Canis lupus familiaris: one gene and its partners. The protein of the gene in region 5 interacts with the protein of the main gene of each other region in a pairwise test. Links are inferred from orthologs where the notes say so. Each region holds a gene or a part of one and is shown on either strand. Other genes may lie near its edges. The genes, in order: IFT20, CRMP1, MTUS1, CTNNB1, HTT, ZMAT2 and DNM2.

What was found.
Region 1: the proteins of HTT (region 5) and IFT20 interact in binary tests that used the Homo sapiens proteins (3 or more experiments, as listed by UniProt). The link is inferred for Canis lupus familiaris from reciprocal best matches to the Homo sapiens genes HTT and IFT20.
Region 2: the proteins of HTT (region 5) and CRMP1 interact in binary tests that used the Homo sapiens proteins (3 or more experiments, as listed by UniProt). The link is inferred for Canis lupus familiaris from reciprocal best matches to the Homo sapiens genes HTT and CRMP1.
Region 3: the proteins of HTT (region 5) and MTUS1 interact in binary tests that used the Homo sapiens proteins (3 or more experiments, as listed by UniProt). The link is inferred for Canis lupus familiaris from reciprocal best matches to the Homo sapiens genes HTT and MTUS1.
Region 4: the proteins of HTT (region 5) and CTNNB1 interact in binary tests that used the Homo sapiens proteins (3 or more experiments, as listed by UniProt). The link is inferred for Canis lupus familiaris from reciprocal best matches to the Homo sapiens genes HTT and CTNNB1.
Region 6: the proteins of HTT (region 5) and ZMAT2 interact in binary tests that used the Homo sapiens proteins (3 or more experiments, as listed by UniProt). The link is inferred for Canis lupus familiaris from reciprocal best matches to the Homo sapiens genes HTT and ZMAT2.
Region 7: the proteins of HTT (region 5) and DNM2 interact in binary tests that used the Homo sapiens proteins (3 or more experiments, as listed by UniProt). The link is inferred for Canis lupus familiaris from reciprocal best matches to the Homo sapiens genes HTT and DNM2.

The regions. Positions count from the first base shown.
Region 1 is NC_049230.1:42,556,709-42,560,787, forward strand, and holds the start of IFT20 (intraflagellar transport protein 20 homolog), read right to left. Parts: upstream 2,801-4,079; 5' UTR 2,638-2,800; intron 1-2,637. UniProt on the Homo sapiens protein: Part of intraflagellar transport (IFT) particles involved in ciliary process assembly. May play a role in the trafficking of ciliary membrane proteins from the Golgi complex to the cilium.
Region 2 is NC_049224.1:71,589,735-71,593,234, forward strand, and holds part of CRMP1 (dihydropyrimidinase-related protein 1), read right to left. Parts: intron 2,600-3,500; coding exon 2,443-2,599; intron 1,163-2,442; coding exon 1,021-1,162; intron 155-1,020; coding exon 1-154.
Region 3 is NC_049237.1:41,851,329-41,854,828, forward strand, and holds part of MTUS1 (microtubule-associated tumor suppressor 1), read right to left. Parts: intron 2,711-3,500; coding exon 2,496-2,710; intron 1,776-2,495; coding exon 1,670-1,775; intron 603-1,669; coding exon 529-602; intron 384-528; coding exon 288-383; intron 1-287. UniProt on the Homo sapiens protein: Cooperates with AGTR2 to inhibit ERK2 activation and cell proliferation. May be required for AGTR2 cell surface expression. Together with PTPN6, induces UBE2V2 expression upon angiotensin-II stimulation.
Region 4 is NC_049244.1:10,788,915-10,793,172, reverse strand, and holds the start of CTNNB1 (catenin beta-1), read right to left. Parts: upstream 2,801-4,258; 5' UTR 2,759-2,800; coding exon 2,746-2,758; intron 2,315-2,745; coding exon 2,087-2,314; intron 1,885-2,086; coding exon 1,631-1,884; intron 1,507-1,630; coding exon 1,268-1,506; intron 1,180-1,267; coding exon 978-1,179; intron 1-977. UniProt on the Homo sapiens protein: Key downstream component of the canonical Wnt signaling pathway.
Region 5 is NC_049224.1:61,750,089-61,754,189, forward strand, and holds the start of HTT (huntingtin), read right to left. Parts: upstream 2,801-4,101; 5' UTR 2,662-2,800; coding exon 2,447-2,661; intron 1-2,446.
Region 6 is NC_049223.1:34,979,058-34,983,310, reverse strand, and holds the start of ZMAT2 (zinc finger matrin-type protein 2), read right to left. Parts: upstream 2,801-4,253; 5' UTR 2,755-2,800; coding exon 2,737-2,754; intron 2,402-2,736; coding exon 2,308-2,401; intron 1,245-2,307; coding exon 1,121-1,244; intron 1-1,120. UniProt on the Homo sapiens protein: Involved in pre-mRNA splicing as a component of the spliceosome.
Region 7 is NC_049241.1:50,820,771-50,824,270, reverse strand, and holds part of DNM2 (dynamin-2), read left to right. Parts: intron 1-144; coding exon of another isoform or gene 145-283; intron 284-1,270; coding exon 1,271-1,357; intron 1,358-3,207; coding exon 3,208-3,278; intron 3,279-3,500. UniProt on the Homo sapiens protein: Catalyzes the hydrolysis of GTP and utilizes this energy to mediate vesicle scission at plasma membrane during endocytosis and filament remodeling at many actin structures during organization of the actin cytoskeleton.

The DNA of each region.
Region 1 (4,079 bases), on a different chromosome or scaffold from region 5:
CTGGTCCAAAAGATGCCTCCATTCTGGGAAGAAAACACTGAAAACTCACATTCATCCTGGCAAACACACACACACACACACACACACACTATATATATATATATATATTTAGGTTTTATTTATTCACAAGAGACACAGAGAGACAGAGACACAGGCAGAGGGAGAAGCAGGCTTCCTGAGGGGAACCTGATGCGGGACTCGATCCCAGGACCCTGGGATCACCACCCAAGCCAACGGCAGATGCCCAACCACTGAGTCACCCAGGCGTCCCCAATGCACACAAATTAAAAAGCACACTCCCTGTCCAAAAAGGGAGGCAATTCCCAAACGCCAGGTGTTCCAAGGGCTACCACCAGCTGGCCCTGCGCCAGCACTTTCCTCTGCTCTCACCTTCCCTAGTTATTTTCCTTCCAGCTTCCTGAGAGAAGTTCTGTTCCACATGGGGTTGTTATGGGAGTAACTTCCCAGAGCAAGTAGACCATAGGAGGAGCAGTGGTTAAAAAAGAATTGTGTCCCGTGGCTGCCAGAACTGATTTTCAAGACAGCCAAAAATCCAGATTTATATATGAAATCTGATATTTATTTATTTATTTATTTATTTATTTATTTATTTATTTTTGAAATCTGATTTTTAAAGGTAAATACTGAATTCAAAACTTTAAAGGAAAAACCACATCCAACACTGTGGGCCAACTAATGCATGTCTATAGATTGTGTATGACTGGGACACAGAGTCTCTGGCCTACTGGAATCCACTGAAGGAAATAGGCTAGCATCTGAAACATTTTAATCATCTCAAGCTTCCTTTTAATTGGGCTTTTTTTTAAATATAACACACAGTAATATATTAATTTCAGGTGTACAATATAAAGATTCAACAATTCTATATTCTCAGTGTGCATCAGGATAAGTGTATTCTTTTTTAATAAATTTATTTTTTTATTGGTGTTCAATTAATTGGGCTTTTTAAAAAAAGATCTGCCTTCCTGGGACCTGCCTGAGTGGCTCAGTGGTTGAGCGTCTGCCTTCAGCTCAGCTCGTGATCCCAGGCTCTCGGGATCGAGTCCCACATCGGGCTCCCCTGCAGGGAGCCTGCTTCTCCCTCTGCCTATATCTCTGCCTCTCTCTGTCTCTCATGAATAAATAAATTAAATCTTTTATTAAAAATCTGCCTTCCTGTTGTTCTATTACATTTACACACAGAGTTTGAGCATTTAACACCTACCAGGTGATTAATCAGACCAACTGCTCTAGAAAGCTTCCAGTAATCTTAGGTAGCAAATATCTACCTCCACTTCCACTCCCTGCCCTGAGAGGATGCATTTATTCAGAAACACCTACTGAGTCCCTGCTCTGCAGACAGAGTGGTGAAGAAAATGCTTTAGTTTCTGATCTCTGGACAGACAGTAAACAACCACAAACTGTGAGGACAGTATGAGGAAAAGCACACGGTGCCATATGAAGCTGCAGCAAGAGGACAGAATTCATATGGGGCAGGGAATGTCTCAACAAAAGCTTCTGAAAACATGACACTTAAGCTGAGACCTAAAGAATGTCCAAAAGTTTGCCAAGTGAAGCAGGGAGGAGGCATTCCAGGCAGAAGGAAAAGCATGTGTCAAAATCTTGAGGCTAAAAGAAATGTAATGCATTCCAGGAACCATAAGGCTAAAACCCAGTGAACAAGGGGGCATGTGGAAGAGGTAACTCTAGATGAGGAGGCCTGAGCGTTCATGGAGAGCTCTGAAAGCCACAGTTATGAACGTGGGTTTTATCATAAGGGTAGTGGGCAGCCAGCAAATTCTCAGCAGGAAAGGCAGACATATGTGTCTTTTACAACCATCACTCTGACCCAGGGTGGAGGAGGGAACAAGAGAGTGGGGCTACACATACCTTGTTCATCGCTGTAACCCTAGCATCTAGCAGGGTGCCTGCACTCAGTAAATGTCTGTGGAATGAATGACTGGAAACAGAAAAGGCTATTACAGTACCCAAGGCTTGGAAGAAAAGCGTCCCCATTTGCGATGTTACATAAGCTGATGTAATTAGTAAAGCCCCGACTGAATGTAGGAGTCTGGGATGAGGGAAGGAAAGAGGCAGGCAAGATTCCCCTGTATCTGGCTCGAGCGCCAACTTTTAAGTTCGGTGGGCAGAGCTGAATGAGACGGATAAGACCGGATAAGGAGGGCAGGGAGAGGGTTCACAGCCGACTATCAGATTCCCTCCCAACTCCCACCACACGTGCGTGTCTGAGCATCTGAGGAACACCGGGCACCAGAGCCGCGCGGGGCTCCCCGAAGACGGCGGCGGCGGCGACACTCTCCGCCTCCCTGGCTCTCCCAGACCCATTCCCGGCCCCGCCGGCAGGCGCCATTCGCGGGATAGTCGGCAAGGGGCGCCGGGCACACAGGTAGGAAGACCTGGGTGATGGAGCTGGCTGTCCACACTACGGAAACGCCTCGAACTTCTGGGCCGCGGTTTCGTCACAGGGCCGCTGCGAGCATCCACGCAAAGCTCCAGGCCCCAGCTGGAGTCTCACCGCTCGCAAAGACGCGCGCGGAATCCCCACGTTTCTTTCGGCCTGTCAGGTTCAGTCGCCCCGGGTCCGCCCGCGTCCCCCGGCCCGGAGTCGCTGCCTACCTGGCAACCCCGTAGCGGCGGCGCGCTACCGCCCGAGCTGTTTCCTGCAGGCAGCCTCTCTCCCCGGGCAGCAGCAGCCGGTGCCTCGCCCGCCGGCCTCAGCCGCTGCCACGGCTACTGTTTACCCGTAACGTCATTACCTGACTGCGGAAGTACTTACCCCGCCCAACCCGCAGAGCCTGCTGGGAAAAGGGCCTGTGGGGAGGGACGGCTGCCTACAAGATCCAGAGGCCTTTGCGGCGGAAAGGCTGCCGGAAGTAGCCGAACGCCAACAGCGGAATTCTCCCAGGGGCCCCTCCCTCTCCCGTGATTGGGTGCTGGGCATGGCGGCGGGGCGGGCGGGGCTGGGCCGCGGCTCAGGGCGGAGTCCGCGGGCGGAGGATGTGAGCTCACGGCCCGGGATTGCTGGCGGGCAGGCGGCCACAGCCCCGGGCGGCACGGGGTCGGCTTGCAACCCAGCTGAGAGGAGACGTGCCCCCCGGGAACGGTGAGAGGCGGGGTGCGGATGCCCTGGGGGACAGGATGGACGGGCCGCGGGCTGGAGCAGGAGCAGGGGCAGGAGCCCCACCCGGGGCTGGGGAGAAGGCGTGGGACGGCGGAGGGGAGATGGAGAGCGCAAGTCCTCCACTGGGGTGCGTGTCAGAATCGGTCGGCTTCTCGGTGTGAGGAGGGGTGCGGCCCGGGGAAGACTCCACCGACCACGGAGAGGTTGGGTCTCGCTAATCTTTCCAGACCTTTGGGACGAAACCTAAGATTTACACCTCGGATTTCTGCTGGATCCGCCTCCTCTACCCAAGATTGGCCACCCGCCCCCCACCCACCCCACCGAGTGTCATGGACCCATGGGTCCGTCTTCTAGGACCCCGCCTTCTTCCACGGCCGTGGTTGTGGTCCTGCCCTTCATTCTGCTTAGGTTCCCATTAGCCTCACTGAGGGAGACTCGGATACGCCCTCAGCCCCAGGCATCCCCAAATACCCACACACAAAGTCCGGAAGGAACTGCAGTGAGGCTATCAGTGGAAACTTCATTCTCTCTGGAATTACTTTCTGGGGCGTCACCTGCCAAAGATTCCTGGAGCCCATTGGCCCGGGAGGAATCTGAGCGGTCGGCATCTGAGCTGACGTCATCCAGGGGCTCAAAGCAATTGCTTTGTAGGCTCTGTTGGCCACCCCCTAGCCTTTGAGTTCCTTTACTTTGGCGGAACATATGTTTGCTTTCTTTGATCCTGGGGAAATCGGGGCTAGACTCAAAATGCATAGGGGACTTGCTAAAACCTGTTAAGGAGTGGATTTACTCCATTGGGGTGGGTGGGGGAAGGTGAGGTGATTTCATACTATCACGTGTTACTTAGGGATTGGACAATCTGCTGGTGAGGTTCATCTCCTCCGTACTCCATCCTTGAGGCAAGTGAGTCTCCAGGACAAGCCACCAAAGAAATTTG
Region 2 (3,500 bases), about 9.8 Mb from region 5:
CTGTTATGGTCTTCACCTTATCAGGGTCCCAGATGACTACATCAGCATCTGAGCCCACTGCAATCCGCCCTTTCCTGGGGTACAGGTTAAAGATCTTGGCTGCGTTGGTGCTGGTGATAGCAACAAACTGGTTCTCGTCCATTTTGCCAGTAGCCTAAAGGCAAGATCCACAGATGAGGAGAATGTCCCATAACAGGGCTGGGGGAAGAGCAGACAGGCACAAATCCAGACCTGCCGACAGGAGTCCTTGAGAGAAGTCTGGATTTTTCTCCTCCCCCGCTGCAAATAGGCCATCATGAAAGGGCACAAAGGCCTGGCCCCATCAGAACGGAAGTGCAATTGACCGCTCAGAGGTATACTGACATCTGCTCAATAACCACTGTGCCATCTTGTCAGTCCCACTGGGTCCAAGTTTAATAGAAAATAAAAATCTTAGGTTCAAGTCAGGGACCAGAGTGTGACCTGGGGCTTCCTACTGTGACGCGACAAGCACCCTCTGTATTCAACCCCAAACACACACGCGGTTTACAAAGTCATCTTTACAGGAACTGAGATGTGGTCAAAACAAAGCTAAAGAAAATATTTTGCATCCTTAAAGAATAAAGGGGAGCTGTCATGTCTGTGCTGCTTTGTTAAGAGACACGTTTCCTCGCATGCCCTCCTGATGTGTTCTGCACCTGCATCAAAGCAAGGAAGGGAGGAGCTTTAAGAATCAGCTGTGCAGAGGCACCTGGGTGGCTCAGTTGGTTGAGCGTCTGATTCTTGGTTTCAGCTCAGGTCATGATCTCACGGGTGGTGGGACTGGGCCCCACACTGGGCTCCATGCTCAGAGGGAAGTCTGCTTCAAGATTCTCTCCCTCTGCCCCTCCCTCTACTCACTCTTCTCACTCTCTCTCTCTCTCAAATAGATAAATCTTAAAATAAAAGACAACCAGCAATGCGCAAAGTGCTAGCTTTTGAGGGGCCAGGCAGGGAGCTTCTAGAATGTTCCTGGGGATAGAAAAACAAGGAACACCTTACCACTGCTTTGTCCCAGACAACAGTCATCCGCTCTTCTATCCCATTGACCCCCTCTGGGATCAGAGTGAAGTTATCCTTGCCCACTGCTTTCTGGGCAGTGCTGTAGGGACAGTGGCCACTACCTGTGACCTGCAGGTCTCCACTGTAAGGATGAAAACAAGGTGGGGATCAGACTTGAGTTTCAGGTTGAATTTCAGGCACCCAATGTACGCTGTGAAATGAAAACCCCAAGAGATTCTGGGGAAGGGATTTGGGGCACTTCATGGGTATCAGTGAGTGACACTGGAAGGCCCTTTGGGGGCCTGTGTCTTATTGGGAAAAGGCTCAGTCAGTGTGGGCTCTGGGCTCTCTGAATAAGACTCCCCAGGTGGGCCTCCTCTTCCTCACCTGGAAGAGTGGGCATCCACCCAAACAAGGTGCCAAGTGAGGTTCAATGAGGGGTGAGGCCATATCAGGCTTGGCCTTGGAGACTTGTGGAGACTTGTGTTCAATGCTAAGAGAAGAGGATCCTGGAAATCTCCAGGCAGAGGAGTGGCTTGGTCTGATTTGGGTTTTAAAATCTGGGTGTTTGTTGGGTATAGACTGTATCATGTTAGGGGCATGGAAGGAAGAGCACAGAAACAGGCCTATTGGAGATGAGCCATGACGGTCATCGCCAAGGGGGCAAAATGTGGTCAGATCCTGGGACCTTTGGCCTGTTTCCTGCCATCTTCAGATATGGGCAAGACTGTGGGAGCAGCAGCTTTGTGGAGGAGATGGGGAGTCTGTCTGGACTTGGATCTGCCCACCAGACATCAGTTTGCAGACGATGAGTAAGCCTGTGGATAGTCAAGTCAAGTGTTTCTGCATCATTTGGGAGAAAGAAATCTCCATGGTAGGTTCACATCCTCACCCCCATGGGGCTCCTCCAAGGCTAAGACCAGAAGCCTGGACTTATCCCCAATCCAGCGAATTCCTACTAATCCTCTAGCTTCTGGCCTGATGTTGCCTCCCCCATGAAGCCTTCTACAAGTTTCCTGGTTCTGAGCATGTACCTCTGCTTCCAGAGCAGCCTGCACACCTCACCACTTAGCCTTCTCTTGCGGCTTAAGTGTTCTTCCCTCATGGTGGCCAATAGAAGGGAAGGGACCAAGGTGGCTGTGCTCCTACTGTGTGCAGGTACCCAAGAGGTGCTTTGCAAGTAACAGTAGCCACTTGCTGAACCCTAGATTCTAGGCCATTTTCTTACACTGTCACACATAATCAGCTCCACAGTAGGTACTATGTTCTCCTCCATTTTGCCAATGAGTAAACCAAAGCAAAAAGCCATTCTGGGTTATGTGACAAATACAGGGTGAATCTGGATTCTCGTTTCTAATCCTGGGTGCTTCCCAATATCCCACACTATACCCAGTATCGCCCAGCCACCCCCTCGGCTCTCACCAGGCCAACAGGGAGGTCAAGTAGTCAGGTGTGGTAGGGTCTGGGCTCAGGGGAGGGGAGGTCACGAAGGCCGCTGCCTTGGCCCAGTTCTTGCTCCAGTAGTGGGTGCCATCAGTTCCCAGGCTGGCAGCGATGGGCTCGCCGAACACGAGGGGGCCTGTAGGGGCAAACACACAAAGGTGATGGTCTTTTGAGGAGGGTCTGGGGGCACGAAAGTCAGAGGGTCAGAGACAGGAGAACGATGCTCTGAGGGGCAATAGGTTGTCTGCCCTTCTTCCCTGCATCACCACACAGCCCAGTGACCCCCCGCTGCCAGGCGCTGGGCACCGGCTGACCCCAGCAACCTCCCGGACTGGTAATACTTTTCGGATTTGAAAAGGACCATTATGCCCTTTGGCAGATCTGTCAGTCCAGGCACAGGGATGGATTGTGCTGTCTCAGTGTGGAGTCTACCAGAAGCAGATCTTCAAGTTCAGGAGTCAAGTTCAAGTGTCTTACTTGGGAGGTGATTCCAGGCGGCACTGGTGGGGGATTGAGGAGGTGACAGAGAAAGACGTCAAGAACAGGTGAGTTATGACCAAGTCACGGCCATGGGCACCTGCAGCTTGGGGCCACTGGGGCCTTGGGGAGACTACTGACCGCACCTCGGGACCGTGCCACCCCCAGGGAAGGGAGCCGGGCGGTGCATCCACCAACCCACCGCGGGAGGGCTGCTGCCAGAGCATTCACTCTCGGAATCCCAGGCTGCCTTCCGAGGAGCAGGCCAGAGCAAAGCCCACAGGCAGAGCCTCAGATCCGCCCGCGGACAGATGCTGCCGGACACCGGCCAGCAGCACTGCCACAGCTGTGCAAGGCCACCCGGCTGCGGCAGCTTTGAGCTCCGGCGATCTGGCTGTCCGGGAGCACGTCCTGCAGTGATGGGCATGTTCTGTACCCGTGCTGCCCAGGACGGCGGCCACTAGCCTTCTGTGCCTCTCGAGATGTGCAATGTGGCTAGCACAACCAAGGAAGGCGTTTAAAATTGTATTTAATTTTACTTAATTCAAATTGAAACAGGG
Region 3 (3,500 bases), on a different chromosome or scaffold from region 5:
TGTAGTTTTCCCATGATACCCTAACTCTCATTGTCAGTTTTCTTGTTTTCCTGTGGCTATCAGCTTAGGCCACTTGCAATGTACTGAGCTTCATCTGTATGTCAGTTCTGAGGCTTTCTAAAAAGACACCAGTAAACAAAGAAGCCAGTTTAAAAAAGTCATTCTGCAAAATATGAAAAGGACCCCAAACCCATATCATTTCTCTAGCTACTGAACACTTAATTGACCCTCCAAGGCAGCTGAACAGAAGAAAACTCAGTAGTGATGGAGAAGCACACACAACTTACTAAATTTGCTTTCTCTCTTGATAGTCTTTTTTGTTCTTCTGATTTCAACTTTTCATTTAAAGCATCATTTTCACTCTTCAGATCATTGATTTGTTTCTAAAACAAACAATGAAATGTGGAGCACAAGTTAACAGGCAGAGACCAGAAACATAGCAAATGTACACAGAAACACTGCCCAAACCACACAAACCTCAGGAATGAGGGTATTTTGGGGAAGCAGGTGTAAATAAGATTTACCTACCTCCAGCGATTCCTGCTTTTCGTGAAGCATATCCTCAAGTGATTTCTTTTCCATTTCATGGCTTTTCTTGATTTCTGGAAAGAAGGGATTTTTTTGGAGGCAATGACATCCTATGAGATCATTGTATTCAATAGTTGTTAAAGCACGTAGATCTAAGAGTTGATTATGAGGCCGTATGACTATGTTACTTTATATTTGTAAGATGCTTTTAAATGAATTAAGCTAGCTATTCTCCAATTAGGCCTATGATGGGAGGAACACAGATACTTCCATTTTATGATGGAGAGCACAGAGGCCCAGAGGCCACAGGATACAGCATGTCCATCTCAGGTGTGTGGGCCTCAAACACTGGCCTTCACACTCCTGCACTCGAGTTCCTGTGCACTTTTCCATTTGCTCTTCATGAATCAAACACAAGTCTAAAGTTGAACCCAATTCTAGCAGGAAGGAAGAATGACAATGTTTACTAAATATCTACCCTGGGCCAGTCACTTTTACATATTATCATCTCTGACTTCATGTGACAACTCTATTTTTCTGATGAGAAAAGCCTTTGCCAAAGGCAGGCCAGCCAGTTCTTACCCCATGTCTACAGGCTTCTTCTATGGGACAAGCAGAGCTAAGTGTAATAACTTCCACTACCCTCTGTGTTCTTAAAGAAGTGGCTCCTTCTATTCCTTCTACTTCAATCTTTCTAATTATGATAAAATAATTTTTTAAAAAATTATTTCTTAACTCAGCAAGTGCCATGTTCTTTTCACAGCATTGTCTGTTGTGCAAGACTACTGGCAAGCAAGTGTTGCTTAGCATGGGTCCTTTACCATGTCCAGGATATAAACTAACACTTTCAACTTCCCGCAACTTCAGGTGGTAAAGAACAACCACTGCCAAAAAGACCTTTATGTTCTATAAAAGTTAGTCTCACATCTTAAAAGGCATTTGTGACAAACTATTATTTGCATCCGAAGGGGGAAAGGGCATCTGCTTACAATGAACAGTGCAAAAAGAAAGCAAAAACATTCCCAACTGAATACCACAGGGTATTCTCTGGAAGGGAAAGTTATGAATCATTTCCATTTTAAAACATATCATGCTGTTCCATTAGATCTGATTCTATTAAAAAAAAAAAAAGAATTCTTGCCTGAAAGGGAGGTTTCATAGGCCTTCTTTAGTAATTCAATCTTCTCTGAGTGGCTAGCTTCAATCTCCAACTTAGAAGTTTCATGGGCAGCATTTAAGTTGTCGAACTAGAAGCAAAAAAAAAAAATAGTTTACCAGTAAAATTAAAAGTCTTAAGTTGAATAATAAGCAGCAGTATTAGGACACTTGACACATAAACTTGCGTTCAAGTTAAAAGGCTGCCTGACAATATGGATAGAACAACCCAAGCTGGATCTGTCACTCCCAATTCTCCACTCTCTCCTCGCTCAGGAACACAAACACACAGGTTCTCCAGGGTTCACTGATGCAAAAGGCCAAGTTCATCATAATTAATGATATGTTTCACGGTGATAGGACCACAGAAGATCCATGCCTGTCATACTGGTCTTCATATCTGCAGTCCCTGGCACGTGCCCAGCATATAGTATGCACTCAGTAAATACTTACTAAATGGAGAATTGATTTTAAAAGGAAGTGAGAAAATTAAAGAGAAGCTTATGATATACTATTAAATGAAAAATGTGGGTTATTAAGTGTCAGTTTAAAAAAGAAGAAATGCAAACCAATCATGTAGCAGTATAACATCAAAAGGGATTACTTCCAGGTAGTAAGGAAGGTTTTTTTTTTTTTAACTTTTCTTTTTTTCTTTCCTTCTTTCACTCAACATTGCTTTGATCCTAAGAAAAAATCGAAAAACCTCTTTTCACTTATTTAAATAAAAAGAAGTTCAAAGGAAGTTCTTCATCAAACAATTAGAATTCAAATAGTCATGACCAAGGACATGATCAGACTCCAAAGGCACAGACCTGCTCTTGCAATTGAGTTTTATACTTCTCTGCTTCTTCAATATAAATATTCTGGAACTTTTCACATTCCCCGGTGTAAAATTCTTTAAGCCGATTCTCTAGCTCTGATAGATCGGTCTGGTGCTGCTGGTTCAGCTTCTGGACAAATCCTTCATAAGCTATTTGCAACTCATTCTTGGCTTTTTCTAATTTCTCACAGGTAGATGAAGCAGTGACTAAAAGAGGGGAAAAAGGCAAAAAAAAAAAAATTCATCTGCTGAATATCCTAAATTCACCACATTCTCACATAGTTGTGAGGACTCTGGAAACATTAGCACAGTACTCTGAGTACTTTGTTGTCTCTTGACCAGATTTTCAAATATAATGGTATAAAAGTGAACGATAAATAGGAACAAGAAGAAATGGTCACTGGCAGCAAAATAAAAGCCCCATAACCACAAAATAAAAACCAAAACCAATACCCCTTTTCGACCCCCTCACCCCGCCTAACACACAACCATCTAGCAAGTAGTAACGTTAGTACTTGAAAAGAACCAGGTTTCCAAGGGAGAAGCACCCTTTGTGTGTTGACCGATCAGTGCAGGGGCCATAAGGAGGGGAGGCTCTGACTGGCTGAGGCGTCTCTAAGGCTGAAGAGCCTGTAGGGAGAAGCTAAGACACAAGGGGCAAGGAAGATCGGAGATAAGAAATAAATGGATTTTAAGCTTCTACTTAATTTAAGCTGATTTCAAAAATACAGTAATAAAAACAAAGTATTAGAGTATGTTGAACACAAATCACCAGAGCATACCAACTTTAGAAAGAACACATTTTAAAAGCTACAACATAGGGGTGCCTGGGTGACTCAGTCCCATAAATGTCTGCCTTGGGCTCAGGTCATGATCTCAGGGTCCTGGGATGGGACACCGCATCCGGCTCCCAGCTCAGAGGAGCGCCTACTTCTCCCGCTCCCACTGCCTGTATTGTCTCTGTGTGTCAAATAAAATCTTTATTAAGCTGAGTGGG
Region 4 (4,258 bases), on a different chromosome or scaffold from region 5:
CCCTGAACCCCATTACCCCAGATTCCCATACTGGGACCACGTTTAGCCCCTCTTACACCATTCCACTCAAATTCAGGCATCCCAGTACTCCCAAGAATATCTCAACTTTTCCCCAATATTCTTCCTCTCACACTGATCAGAACAAAAGAAACAGAAACCATGTTGGTATGCAACAGTACTGTCCATATATCAATGGTATATCAAAGCAGATTTCTTGAAAATTTGAGCCAGAACAGGTGCTTAGAACTCCTAATGATTTGGCTCTTGGCTTTTCCTAATCATTATTCACCTACTTAAAATGAAGTATCATAAAATAATTACTCATTCTTGCCCTTTACTTTCCTGCAGACCCCTACTTCCAAACTATCCTGATTTTCTAAAAACAAATCTCCTCACTTCATGCCTCTGCTGATACTGAACTGCTTTCCATTACTTTTTAAAAACATATTCTACAAGGCCCTGAAGGACCTTCCCTGCTAATCTCAATACTCTCATCTCAAACCTTTCCTCTTCTTTACTCTGTAAATTCATCCCTCTCCTCTCTCAGTAGGACTTTCAAAGGTGTCAATTCCTCTCTCTCACCTTCACCTAGTCAGTCTTTCCTCATCCTTGTGAACTGAACTCCACTATCACTTCCTTCCACTGGTCTCTCTAAACCTTCCAAGCAGGGTGTGGTTCACGTATATGCTATCACAGCCCCTCTACTTCTTCCAGATACATGAATTAAATAGTAATTAGGTTATTATCTCTAATTAGTGCCTATCTTCCACCTAAGTATGAAAGCTCTAAGTATGCCCACTATATCCTTATCACCTAGCCTTATATAAACAAATATTTAAAGAAAAAGAGATGTCCAGCTTTTTTTCTAGGATACACACAAAGGGTGAGGCATACAAAGAATGTGCAAGAGTCCACAGAAGGACATGACACTGGATTCCCCAATGCTCCATGAGCCATACTCAGAAAAATTCTTTTACCTTGCTTTCTTGATTCCCGTAAGCTAAAATCTGAAGGCAGTCTGTTGTAATAGCCAAGAATTTAACATTTGTTTTGTTGAGCAAGGCAACCATTTTCTGCAGTCCACCAGCTAAACGCACTGCCATTTTAGCTCCTTCTTGATGTAATAAAAGGTTGTGGAGAGTTGTAATGGCATAAAATAATACAGAATCCACTGGTGAACTGGGAAGAAAAAAAAAGCCTCATCAGAAAGGCTGTGATGGCACCCTTCTCCTCCTTAGCTTCAAGCATCCTAACCATGTTTTCTTACCCAAGCATCTTCACCAGGGCAGGAATGCCCCCAGACTTAAAGATGGCCAGCAAGCCCTCACGATGATGAGAAAGATTGTGCAAGGTCCCAGCAGTACAGCGAGCTGTTTCCACATCATTTGTATTCTGCATGGTGCGTACAATAGCAGACACCATCTGAGGAGAACGCATGATGGCGTGTCTGGAAGCTTCCTTTTTAGAAAGCTGATGGACCATAACTGCAGCCTTATTAACCACCACCTATAATGTATAGGAATTAAGAGACAGAATTATGATTTTCAAATACTGATACCGGATAAACATTCTGAGGCTCCTTGAGAGTTTCCTTTAAAGCAGATTAAAAGCTAGCCATGTCCTTACTTACCTGGTCCTCATCATTTAGCAGTTTTGTCAGTTCAGGGATTGCACGTGTGGCAAGTTCTGCATCATCTTGATAGTTAATCAAATTTACAACTGCATGTTTCAGCATCTGTGATGGTTCAGCCAAACGCTGGACATTAGTAGGATGAGCAGCATCGAACTGTGTAGATGGGATCTGCATGCCTTCATCTAATGTCTCAGGGAACATAGCAGCCCGCACCCTCTGAGCTCGAGTCATTGCATACTGACCATCAATATCTGGAAAAAATAAATTCAACACTCACTGTCCATAATTCAGCATTCACCTGAATTTGTGCTACCCTAAGTGGTAAAGGTAACATTACAATCACTCCATGTTTTCTTTACCACACCATTTTATTTAAGCTATTACATACTAACTTTTTAAAGAATCATTCTTAAAATTGCCTTCTAACTTTTATTAAGGCAATAAAATACTTACCAGCTACTTGTTCTTGAGTGAAGGATTGAGAAAAGCCCTGTTCCCACTCATACAGGACTTGGGTGGTATCCACATCTTCTTCCTCGGGATTGCCTTTACCACTGAGAGAAGGAGCTGTGGTAGTGGCACCAGAATGGATTCCAGAATCCAGGTAAGACTGTTGCTGCCAGTGACTAACAGCTGCTTTTCTGTCTGGCTCCATGGCCATGTCCAGCTCCATCAAATCAGCTATAAAAATCAAACAATATTAGCATTACCACCATGGAGATGTTATATTCATTAAAATATCTGTGATGACCCATTGAAATATTGTTAGAAATAGTCAAATCTGAAAGTCAGCCAAGAATAAACAACGATAGCCAGGATTAGCTCAGTGATGAAATATCTATACTCTTAAGGGACCACCTAACAGTTACTCACTGAATTAGTGGAAGAATGGTACTGCATCCAGGCTCCAGAAGCAGTCATCCAGACTAGATTCCTGCTGGTGGCTTGTTTGCTATTTCACCAAGCCATTAGGAGGAGTGAGCAGAAAATGGAGCAAAAGGTAGCCTGACAAGTAAGCAGGGAGAGAGTAAAGCAGGGGGATCTGAGCCAGACTGGGTTAATGGCAATGAAGCAGAGCCCCGATTCAGTAACTAAAGACTTTTGATACAAACCTTGGGTAGCCATTCCCCACACAGGATTTTCAAAACCGTTGTATGGTGTGCTTCAGGTACCCTAAAAGAGTTAATCAAGTCATTAGGATTTAAAATTAGTTTTTAGTACTTTTAAGTCACTAGGATGACCTGCTAAACATCATGGATTATATCCACAAAAAGCCCCCAAATCCCCCTTTACCATGTGAGAGTGAAAGCCAGACTCCATGGTCTCCTTAATACACTCCCCACAGCTCCACCACTGCTGAACCTCTTTTAGTAAACACCTCTTTTTAGGTAGAAATACAAATTACAGTTATTCAGGATGTCAGAAAGCTTAATTATTGTTGAGGAGGAAGAAAATTTATAGTGAAAGCCAAGGTAGGAAATAACTCCTCGAATTCCCAAAATACCTCTCCCCTCTCTTTTTAACTTCTTTCACTGAAAAATTCAGAGATCTTTCTGGTGAGACTGGACATGGACTTTAAAAAAAAACTAGATTTTCACTAATGGTTTTTCTTTCCTGATAGAATACAAAGACATCTAAAATACAAAGTAGGTTTTGCTGACTGGATCAGAACACTGGGTTTGAGATCTGTTACTAACTAAAATTACTTTTCAAATGTAAATCTGCAACACAATAATCACCCTTTTAGTAAAATCTGTCTAGTTCAAATTTATAGTATGGATGTATTATAAATACAACTATTACCGACCAGAATGCTGTTTTGATCATTACAAAAAATATATATATATTACAAAAGTACTATATATATAAATACATAATTTATATATATGTAAATCCTAGCATCTATGTTTACATTTTGGCCTCACTGTGTAATAGGAAAACACTGAATCACATGGGAAACTACTTGCAAATTAGAACTGTGGGTCTTGTAAAGGCTCACAACCACCAGATATTCCTAATAATAACATTTCCTTTATCACAAAGTATTCCCGTAAACAAGTTCATCTTACACTACAACTTAACATATTGGTTTACCAATATGTAAAGATATGGACTAAAATATTTAAGCATGAAGTGAGTACTCTATCCATGTAAAAAGGAGTTTAAATGTTTAAAGAAGTTGGAAACTACACTCTGAAGTCCTATGTGCTCTATGTAAAGGAAGCATGTGTTAATTATTCCTAAAATTGCTCTTGCAGTACTAGATTTTTATAGCCACAAAGGTCACTTGATATGTAAAGATAACAAGAGTTATGGATACAATTGTTTAGTGTCCACAGTAGAAACACAACTGATGATCTTTTTTTACATGACAAAATGAAGGTCAGAAAATAATAAAGGTGATTCCTGTCAATAAGAATCTTTTAAGATACCAAGTGGGATTACGTGTTTAACGTTTTGATTCAACAGGACTAGAGTGGGGCATAGAAACCTAAATTTTTAATGAAGATTTCTACAGACCACACTTTAAGAAATACCCATGTTCTCTACTCACTGAAGCTGCATTTTAGCTTTTATTTTTCCACCTCTCTGGAAACTGAGAGCTCCACTCCAGCTCCCAGGTAT
Region 5 (4,101 bases):
CACAAGGGCAGAGCTTTATCTGTTGATTGCTGCAGCCCTGCAACTATTAGCACAGAGGCATACATTAGATGCTCAGTAAATATTTATCGATGGATGAATAACTAAAGTCAGGTGGAAACCAGGTGGGAATCTGAAGGACAGTAAGAAAAGCACTAAACACAAATGTCAACTATCTCATAATAGAGTTAGGACCGTCCCCACCTCTGGCACTCCCCTGCATGCCAGCCCTGCTGAGATTCTAGCCGGTCCCCTCCCACAACCCCAGCATCCCTGCATCCTACATGCTGAGCAGCAAGCAGGCACTAAAGCCCACGCATGGCTGTGACACTACAGCTCCACACAACAGAAGAGAACCATAAAAATAGAACAGATACTTTCTAAATCATTTTTGGACAATCCTGCTTTGGGGAATGGATTTTTCAGCTGAAGCACCTGAACAGAAATGCCAGGATCCAAACTTGTAAGCAGAGTCTGTTACTCAAAATTCATAAATTTCTACTTTCTCAACAGCAAAGTGCCTACAAATATGATATTTATGTATTTTATTTAAAATAACTACTATTAGGCCCATCAATGTAGTTGATTTCAGAGCATGCTAGGAAGCTTTAAAAGTTACTACTCTGAAATATTTCTATTTTAAATAACTCGAAATCTCTCTTCATGTATCCATGGGTTCTATCTGTAAGGGTACAGAAGGAAGAAGTTTAAGAGAGCTTGCCTCTGGGAACACAGTTAGGTACTCAGGAGAAACAGACGGAAGAGAGACATTTTAATTATTATATTTTTGTAATTCAAGAATTTGCATCATGGGAGTGTACTATTTACATGAAAATAATAAATTACGCTTTTTAAATAAGTCAATCACATATGACCTTAAAATAGGGTAATAAAACAACATCTATCTACTTTTGCAAGGGCAGTTTTAGAAAAAAAAAAAACCTACTTTATACCCATATTTTGAAGATAAACAAATTCAGATTCTGTCAAATCAGTGTAAGAAACAGATGGCACATTTTTAGACTGACCAAGTATTTGAACAAGCCTACAGTGACAGCAGTAAGGTCTCCCTTCCCACCCAAAGCCCTCCCTCCTTAACGCTTCCTGTTATACAAGACCCATGCAATGTGTGAACTTCCATGACATCTACCTCCTAGAGAGAGGCAGTCCAATAAAAGTCTGGGATGAATTATGATGATAAATTACCTGATGTAGAAAGAACTCAAATTATTTTTTAAGTATTTTTTTTCTCGAAGCATCCAAACAGGTTTTTCACCTCTTAGAAGAAAAATTAATTTACTTCTAAAGTCTATCCTAACAGCCAAGTCAACATCACTCCCCAAGTCATTTTCTAATTGAACTCTCAAGACATGGCAAGGACCACGTCAGAAACACAAAGAATAAAAAAACACTACTAAAATTGAACGTGACATTATAAAGGGGCTGCCCCTTGGAAACTGTCCTCATTAAATGCCACCACGCATCCAGATGGCAAACCCAGACGCCGGGGGAGAGAGGCCCGGACCGCCGCCGAGCACTCCCGCACTCCCGAGCTCACGGAGCCCGGGGAAAGTACCTGGGTTCCGCCGGCAGGAGCGGTCTCCAGGCACGAGCAGCAGAGACCCCTAGCTTCCAAACAGTAGCACGCAGGCGTCTCCAGCGAAGGAAACAGGAGCCACCCACAGGGACCGCAGGCAAGCCGAACTCCGAGCTGGTGTAATGCACATCATTCCTCCCCCAGCGCTGAACCTCCCTCTCGGCAACGGGTTGTTTTTATTGCCAAGTGAACACAGGCAATAAACTTCAGGCGACTCTTCCTAATAATGACCTTCTAAGCAGCTCACCACTTCCTTGGGTCTGCAAACCAGCTTGAGCTTAGACACGCGAGCGGATCTCCTCCTGATGCCAGCGGACACGCCTCGGGAGGATGCGGGAAGGCAGCCTCGAGGCGCAGAGAAGAGCCCCGCGGCGCCGGGGCCGCACTCCCGCGCCCTCCCCGCCCCCGCGGCCTGAAGGCATGATGTCACCGCTCTCCCCCCGCCCCACCCCCCGCGCTCGCTCCCAAGCCCGGCTCGCGGCGGGGTGTCCGGCGCCCGCGCTCCTTCCTCTCAGGGACGCCCAGGGGGAAGGGAAGCGGCGGCCTCGGCTATCCAAGTTCTGCCCACAGCACAGCCCGTTTCGTGCAGATACAAAGCAGCAAGTTCCTCCCCTAACTTCGCACGCCGGGAAAGGCGGGGGGCCGAGGCCGTGCCCGCCTCGGTGCCCTCGGGGGCGGCCGGCGAGCCCGAGTCCGCCTGCCGAGGGGCGCAGACACCCCCGGGGCCGGGTCTGGCCGCAGGACGGGCGGCGGTGCGCGCCCGGGGTTCGGGGAGCCGCGGGGCCGGGGTCTGCAGGGGCGCCGCAGCCCCCCGCCGTCGCGGGGCCGGAACTGCCGCGAGGCGGTACTCACGGTCGGTGCAGCGGCTCTTCGGCCACCGCCGGGCCCGGGGGCGGCGGGGGCGGGGGCGGCGGGGGCGGCTGCGGTAGCGGCGGCTGCGCCTGCGGCAGCGGCTGAGGAGGCTGAGGAGGTGGCGGCGGCGGAGGCTGCTGCTGCTGCTGTTGCTGCTGCTGCTGGAAGGACTTGAGGGACTCGAAGGCCTTCATCAGCTTTTCCAGGGTCGCCATGGCGGCCTCCCGTCCCGCGGGGACAGCCCCCCGAGCCCTCGAGCCGACCGGCGGCGGCGCTCAGCAACGCGGCAATGAATGGGGCTCGAGGCCGCGGACATGAGCGGAACCAAGGAGCCCGGCCATCTTGGACCCGTCCCGGCAGCCCCCGCGGCCGTGCGTCTCTCGACGCTGCGCCGGCGGGGCGGGGCCAGGGCGGCGGGATTGACAGCCCGGGGCGGAGACCTCTGCCAATGGCCGGCCTAAGCGCCGGCCTAAGCGCCGCCTGCCCCTCCCGCGCCCGCCCGCTCGGCTCCCAGCACCGCCGCGCGGCTGAGATCACAGCCCCACTTTCCGGTGGGGGCGGGGCGGGGCCCGGCGGGGCGGAGGATGGGGGCGGGGCCGGGGCGGGGCAAAGAGGGCGGACGAGGCAGGGGACGCGGCGGGGAAGCACCTGCGGCGGGAGGGGCGGAGCGGAGGAGGTAGGGCGCAGGGTGGGAGGCGGGGCAAAGCACAGGGTGCAGGGTGGGGGCGGGCAGTGAGGCGGGGCAGAGAGGACGGGGGCGGGCGGGGGGCGGGACAAAGAGGGCGGGCGTGGCAGGGGGCGCGGCGGTGAGGCACCTGGGGCGGGAACGGCTGGGCGCGCCAGGCAGAGGATGGGGGGGGGGCAGGGGGCGGGGCAGAGGTGACAGGGCGGGGGGTGAGGCACGGCGAGGCGGGGAGGGGAGGGGAGGGCCTAGGACAGGCACCCGGTAGAAACCTGCCGGGTCAGTGCCTGCAGCCCGCAGAGTCTGTGGCTGGTGCCACGAGCAGCCACTTAGACCCCAGAGGCGCCACGCATAGCAATGATGGCCCAACCCTAACGGGTTCGCTTGGAGGAGAAGACCCTTGCTCCACAGAGGTCTGCAGGGCACCTCCTGCTTAGGGTGGGTAGGCTCTGAGAAGGGTCCTGGGCTCCAGAGCCCCACTCCTTGGAGGCGAGGAAGTGAGCCAGCAGAGGACCACAGAGGGCGGTGGCGCATCAGGGGGCACCCTGCCTGGCAGGGAGTGGGTTGGCCCCAGAGAGAGTTGCCTGGGGAGGGGAGAAGGGACGGGGGTTGATGCATGCACTATGAACCCTCCCGATCCCACTCTGCCCACAGGCCACAACTCCACCTTCTCTCACCGCCAGTCAGTTGTCCCAAGTGGTCAGATAAAGGGAAGCCCAGCGGCACCACAGAAGCATTGCCCCTGAGGGGAGAACGACAGGACCCCCCCCCCTTCAGGGAAAGGACATCAGAGAATGTGCCCCCAGCCTGGAGGGCCTAGTTCCCTGAAGTTAATAATGAGGTGTGTACCAGGTCTCAGGCATGGCAGGCCACAGCGGCCAGGCTCCAAGTGTCGGGTGCTGTGGTCTGCAGACATTAAGACAGCCAGGTGACCCCTTCCTGATATTCATGATATCCATGCCTTCGTATGATC
Region 6 (4,253 bases), on a different chromosome or scaffold from region 5:
ATTAAAATTAAAATAAATAAATAAATAGCCTGTCCATGTCTTACTCTTGGGAAGCCACTTGCTTTATTGTCAACAGCACTAGAGGCCCATGGGGCAAAGAAGTGAGGCCTCCAAAGCACTACATGAAAGAGCTTTCAATCAAATCATTCAGCCCCACTTAAGCCTCATATGAATGCAGACCCAGCAGACACCTTCATTGCAGCTTTGTGAAACCCTAAGCCTTTCCAGATTACTTACCCAAATTGTTAGCTATCTGTTTTATGCTGCTAAATTTTGGTGAGTTAGTTAATTTACACAGGAATAGGTAACTAATACAGAAAAGAATGATGTGAGGTGTTTTTTTTTTTTAAGATTTTATTTATTTATTTATGAGAAACAGGGAGGGGGGGAGAGAGGGGCAGACACAGGCAGAGGGAGAAGGAGGCTCCATGCAGGGAACCCGACATGGGACCTGATCCTAGGACCCCAAGATCATGCCCTGGGCCAAAGGCAGGCGCCAAACCACTGAGCCACCCAGGGATCCCTGATGTAAGTTTTCTAAGCAATTCAGACATGTCACTCATTGCTATCTGTTTTGCTCTCCTGCTAGAAAACGTAAATGAATACTGTAGTAGTGGTGGGCAAAAACAAAAGTCCTTACAGGACACCTCTTCTCATGGGTCATAGTCTTGGTCTAGGAGGAAAGTGTACAACCAAGCAATCCGTAACAACTACAACCTTTGCAGCCAGTCTGGAACCTCAACTCCCTTTATTCACCATCAACAGCTTCTAGGCTCCATTCTAGCTCGAGAAATCTCTCCCCTAGAAATGTTTTCAGGAGTCCTTTCCTTCATTTCTTCCTCTTCAGATATTAAGAAAGAGTTACAGTGCCAATATGAAGAGGTCTACAGAGTAACTCCTCCTAGAGACACTACCATGTTTAGTTGAGGCCTGGAACAGGAGTGACACAAAGAAATATCTAAAGGTAGGACTATTAAAAAAATAAATAAAAATAAAGATAGAATTATAAGTAACATGATTGCTATCCTGGAGCCAGAGAACCTCTCCTCGACACTTGCTAAAATCAACACAGTTTATTAGACCTAGTCTTGGCTCCTGAAAAAGATGAAAAGTCACTCACCCTCCCATCTCAGATTGTGGCGTGGTCTTGGTAATGACAATTGTCTTCCCAAGCTTGGATTCCAGGTCCACTTTATAGTCCCTATGCCGGAGAAGCTCCCGTTTGACTGGCTGTACTGGTTTTCCTAAAATATAAGACAGAAGAAAGTCCTTTTATTATTAGAGTTCCTTAAGCAGAAACGAAAAGAAATGCATGAAACCCAATACACAGATGTCTACTCTTCATTTCTTTCTTAAGCCTGAAGCAGGGGGCACAAAAAGCACTTGTAGCAGCAACTAGGGAGAATCTCAACACAGGAAAAAATGATATGCAATCCCTAAACTCTACATAGCTTTTTTCCACTTCAAAGCCAATAAGTCTAAAAACAAAGTTTTTTATTGTTAACTGAATTGAAGAAAGGAATTAATTTTCACAAAGAGTAAACTTTTAAAAGAAAAGCAAGGACACTCAGTAATACTTTCAGACAGATACCCCAAGTGTAACACACAAAAAAGAATCTCTAGAAGGCTGGGGAAGATTTTCTAAATGGGACCAACATTCAGGCAATATCTGTTACTTGCTACTGTACAAATTAGATCAAAACTAAAAAGATCAGTTTGTGCAAGGTGGTGTGAAAGTAAAGTGAAAGCATAAGAAAAAATAAGGATTCTTTTTGTATAATGGATTCTCTAACTAGGAGAGGAGAATCAACTCCGTAACATTGTACAAAGCAGAGAAACAGTACTACTAACCACCAGCTGAAACAATCACACATTCCTCCCAGTACCCTCACTCTTCTCAGACCACAGGGGAAGGACTTGATTGGACCAGTTATATTCTTCCCCTTAAGTGACTTCAACGGAAAGAGTTTCCTCAATAGGAGTAGTGCATAGCAGCAAAATACTCCACATCTCTGTCACTACTAAGGCTTCTCCTCTCTTCTCTGCACTTGAAGAAAGTACAAAACGAGCTAAGCAAAAAGAAGGCAAGAAAGCACAGGAAACAGAGCTGGGAAATACCTCTGAGTATATTCAGTCCATCTCTTTCCTCCCATTTTATACAGTAAGAAATGGAGAACCAGGGAGGCAACATTCAGCCAGAGGTTACACAAGGTACCAACCAGGACATCGCATTTCAACTCCCCACCCGCTCTCCAGCTATGGCTTCACCTCTACGATACCTCTGCCCTTTAGGGAGTAGGCACCCACCATCCTTCTTTTCTCTCTCTTCCGTGAGCCTCTTCTCGGCGAGCTTCTCATATTCATCTTTGTCCCACTTTCGGCGAAAGTCCAAGTTTTTTGTCTGTAGGGAAAAAAGCGCTCAAGATTCGTCGCTAATCATATCGGAACCCTAGAGAAACGGAGGGAACCGCGTCCACGCCGGCAAGGCGACCCCCCGGACCTGTCGAGAGCGAAGACTCTCCACACCGCACCAGAAGGCTGAGGTGGCCTCAGGACCCCAACCCAAGAGTTCTCCGCGATTCCACAGACCCTGTGCCAGGACCCTACGAGGAGGCTCTTGAACTCGGACCATTGGGCCGCAAGGAGGTGTCGAGAAGCCAGTTGGGTGCAGGATATTCCGCGCTACGAAGGCACCCTCTGCCCCCCGACCAAAGCCTCCTCACACACAACACCTACCCCGCTGCCCGACGCCATCTTCACTGCGAAGTGAATGGGAAGCCGGAAAATGACGTAAAAAGCGGCCCTGAGCCGTAAAGCAAGCTTGCCCTCCAATAAGCTTAGAGTTTCGCGTTCTAAACGAGCTAAGGACTTCTAAAACAGGGTCGTCGGCCCCTCCTCTGACCCACGGAAATGGTGCATGCGCATGGAGAGCATGAAGCAATACGGAAGTAAGGGCGCGTACTAATGTCTTTTGCCTTGGTTTTCTAAACAATCATCTGATTTAATTCAACTGGTCTATTTTATAAACAAGGAAGCAATTTGGATCAGGGCCCTTTGATCTAGTCTTAAGCAACTGTGCATCCGTTTGCCAAGTTTCTAATTTTTAAGGCTGAAGGAATTATTAGGAGCCTCTAGCTGCCCTATTTACCTGTATGCACTAAAGATATGGCCCGCGACACCCAGTGTCTCTAAGTTGCAGCCTTTCCAGCGCATATATAGAAAGCAATTTTTGCACACTCTTTATTTTGAAGCAATGCTATCATCATTCGGTTAAATCATTTTTCTTTCAACTGAGGAACTTTATAATCATTCAATCAATAGGGCACAATTTAATCAACATGATGGGACTTGGAAAGGCCAGTCATCAGCAACGCTGTAGGGTGAACTCTGGCATGCATCTCACTATGTTCATTTAGACGTGACTGTATTTCCAAGTTGATGGGGGGTGGAGTGGGGGCACTGGAAAACTGACTGTTTCCTTCACTGAATCCAGAAGCATCACCCCAGGGAGGTTGCTCCTAGTTCTCAGAATTGTGCAGTGTACACTTGAGGGTTTTCTATGGCCTATGCAAACCAATCTCTTGATAACAAATCACTCAAACTACTACATTTAGTATTTTATTTATTATCCAATCATTTCTAGAACAGCCACCTCCATAGGACAACATGGAACATAGTCGAGCAGTAATTCTGGCACAGGAAATGGTCTCCAAAATCTCAAAAGATTAGACCATCTTGTCAAGTCACCTATTAAATTCAACATTCAAAATTACTAAACAGACAGCCTCACTCTACTAACAGCAGTTGAGCTAGAGATGCCACAACCATGAGCACTCCTATGCCCTTAGGATAGCATCTCTGTCCTCAAAAGGAGAAGGCAGCCATTTGCCCCTTCCTTGCTATCTCCCAATACTCCCTGGACAAGCCAAGGGCAGGTTGTGGACAAATTTCCCAGAATCTGGTTCAGAAGCCACAATGGAAGGCCACGTATCTGACTTCTTATCTCAATGGTCCCAGCCTGGGGCAACCTTCCTAGAGCCTTGCTCAAAGCAACCATCTCAGCACCTGTTGGCAGCATTCCATGGCACTTCAAATCTGCCATCTGTCTCTGCAGTTAGAGCATGTCTCTTTCACATACCAGCCATCTGCACCCATGCAGAATAGCTGCTCACACTAGCCCAGGAGTCCTCAGGACCTCCTACAGCTTTGTACCCAGAAAGGATGGAGGAGGCAGAGGAACTTGTCACCCATCC
Region 7 (3,500 bases), on a different chromosome or scaffold from region 5:
AAATGCGGGCACCGGCTCCTCCTTGCATGTCACTAACCAGCTGACTCTCCTTTCTTCTCTTTCCCTGTCCCCCGCCCCGCGTGTGTGGCCCGCACTGTCCCCGGGTGTCTTCCTACCTCGTCCCGCCCTCCGCATGTGACCCAGGACGGGGCTCTTCACCCCGGACATGGCCTTCGAAGCCATAGTGAAAAAACAGATTGTAAAACTCAAAGAGCCAAGTTTGAAGTGTGTTGATCTCGTGGTCTCAGAGCTGGCCACGGTCATTAAAAAGTGTGCCGAGAAGGTAACCGCAGGTTTTGTTGTCCCCTGCGCATTTGTCCCGCATCTCCTCCCCACCCTCCCACCCCCCACGTTAGTCTCCACCTGTGCATCTGGACACTCTGCCTCGGCGGGAACCCCCCTCCCGGGGGCCACTGGTCACTCAGTGCCCTCGCAACTTTGCGTGGCGGCAGAGGTGGGGGTGCTGCAGCGCATGGGTGCTCCCCGTTTCCAGTTTGGGTGCTGCGGAGGGTGGGAGGCCTGTGGATGTTGTAGGGTCTGATCACTAAGCAGGCCGTGGGGGGACGAGCGGCGCTGCCTGGCCCAGAACCCGTAAGGAGGGTCTCCTCACAGTCACCAAGCATGAACCGTTATCAGCATGCAGACCTGCGTGTTCTCATGTCACAGGGCATTTCAGAGGGTTTCTGCTAGGGATTCTGACTGTCGGCTCAGATGTCCCCAACACTAGGGCTTCACCCCACCCTCGGATGGTGGGCTTCTCCGTGCCTTCGGCTCCATTACGATGGGGGAATAGTTTTCTCTAAGGGGGTCCCTCTGAGGTAGATGGCCCAGATGCTGCCCCCACATCCTAGAACAGGCGCTACTCACTCACGAGCTGGGCGAGAGTTCCCACCCCACTGGCCTGGTGGCCTTCATTAAACTAGGTGTTCTTGCTCTCACCCAGTACTGGGCGGAGGGGGTGGCCATCACTGTTGGGCAGCAGACACACACACCCCCAACTTTCTCTTGCCACTTTCCACCTTCGAATCCATTCTCAGCATCTCTGCTCGTGCGTGGGCACCCCTGTCACTCTCTCTGGCACACCGTGCCTCCACCATCCCCTGCTTGTCTCCCAGCTGCAGCAGCCAGGAGACAGGAGTGGGGTGGGGACTCGGTAGGCCCACCCCTTGTCACTCCCCTTCCCCTCATGTTCTCTGTGTGGTTCATGTTGCTTCCTGTGCCACAAGGACTCAGCCAATGCCGCCACTCTACTTCTCCCCCTGCCCCCCAGCTCAACTCCTACCCCCGCTTGCGAGAAGAGACGGAGCGAATCGTCACTACCTACATCCGGGAACGGGAGGGGAGAACCAAGGACCAGGTATGGGCCTTTTGTTTTGTTTTTCAGGTATGATTTATGTGCATGAATCTTTTTTTTTTAATGTGCTTAAATCTTGAGCATAGATTTCCTTGAATAATGGCACATGCATAAACCAAGGTAACCCCCACCTCAGTCAAGGTACCAAACCATTCTCAAAATTCCTGTCCTTTGCCCCTTCCCAACCCCCGGGCCCTGGCAATGACTGGCCTGCTCCTTATCCCTATGTTTTACCTTCTCCAGAATATCACTCAAATGGACTCCTGTGGTCTGTAGCCTCTTGAGTCTGACCTCCTTTGCTCAGCATAGAGCATTCAGGATTCATCCCTGTTGTTTGTGGTGTTGTTGCTAACGCTTGCTGAGTGGTGTCCAGGGGTGGGTGCAGACTACAGCTTATTTACCCATTCGCCCACCAGAAGATGTGTGGGTGCTTTTTATGTTTTAACATTTTCCTTGTGAAGACCGTCCAGGCACACACAAGGATAGAGAGTGGGACAGGTCCCTGCAGAGCTGTGGCACGGGTCTCACCTGTCATGCCGAGTGAGCCCATGGCTGTCCTTTCATCTCTATAGGACTTGTATCTGGTCTGAGTCCCTTTCCCCTGGTTGGTCTGCTTTGGTCTCCTGGCAGGTGTTTGTTCAAACTAGAGCCAAAACAGGCCTCTGTGTTGTATTTGGTTGTGATACCACCTCGTTTTGCATGTCAGTGGAGAAGAAACTGGCTCATTTGTCATTCAGAGGGTCTCCCAGTCAACCTGCACCCCTTCCCCGTGGCTTCTGTAACCTCGAAGTTGTATCAAAAGCTTGAAAGGTGCCAGTTCATATTGTTATTGTTATTGTCAAGAATGGCTGTCGCTTCCACACTCCCATGGCGCCTGGTTGTCCCAGTGCCAGTGCTTCTGGGCTCTATCCCAGGGCTCGGGCTGATGGGGCTCGGGCCTGTTAAAACCAACAACAGTGGCTCCCACAGACAGAGCACCCCAGCATTTTTCAGCAACCCCACAAGGTCCAAGTGGCTGGCATGTCTTATGCTTGAGTGCCCAGAGGCACAGTGAAATGACAGGAAGGGGTAGGGTGTGCTGTAAAGGCCTGTCTTTTACCTTAGATGACATCCCAACTGATGCCTGTGTTTGCATGTGCCATTCTGATGCCCTCACCTGGTCAAACTACCTTTGCTGTTTGCTTGTGGTTTTTCTTTTCTTTCTTTTTTTTTTTTTTTAAGTTTTATTTATTTATTCATGAGAGGCACAGAGAGGCAGAGACATAGGCAAAGGGAGAGGGAGAACCAGGCACTCTGCAGGGAGCCTGATTCGGGACTCGATCCCAGGATCCTGAGATCACAACCTGAGCCAAAGGCAGATGCTCAACCACTGAGCCACCCAGGCTCCCCACCTTTGCTGTTTTAACAAAGCAGCCCTTACAACATGCCAGGTGCTGCTCCGTAAACACTTGACATGCTGTGAATTATTTAACCTCATGCAGTGGGGCCTCTTGTTGTCCCTTTCAACTGTTTGGTAACACAAGGCCAAGGGTCACACTACCAGGCAGTGGCCGAACAAGACTGCAGCCCAGATAGTCAGCCCCAGAGGCCGTGCCTGCAACCAGCACATGACTGCCTCACTCTGCTCTGTTGGCCCGGTCTTTCTTTCTCATGGGGCCCTGAAGTTTCAAAGTACCCACGCCCCATTTTCCAGGGTAGGGGTTGGAGGTGAGGTATGGGTGTTCCCCTTCTCTTGCGCTGGAAGCAGTATAGTCCCAGCCATCGCCCCCTGCCGGCAGGTATGGGAAGTGCTCTGGCCACAGCCTTCCCTGCCAAGCTTCTCTCCCTACTCATAGTTAACCGTTTTCTTCCAGATTCTTCTTCTGATTGACATCGAGCAGTCCTACATCAACACGAACCACGAGGACTTTATTGGATTTGCCAAGTATGTATTTCTCAGGATAGAGGCTGGTGGGTGACACAAGTGCCCTGCCCTCAGAGCCTGGCCCCAAGAGAGGTGGTCGAGTTGGCTTCCCTCAGCCGACGAGGGCAAGAGGGTCTGTCTGTCAGAGTCCCGGGGTGAAGCATACAGCCATCTGAAAGTACCTGGAAGCTTTCCTGGGCTGATAGCGACCCCCATCATTGTCCTCAACATGCCTCCTGTGGG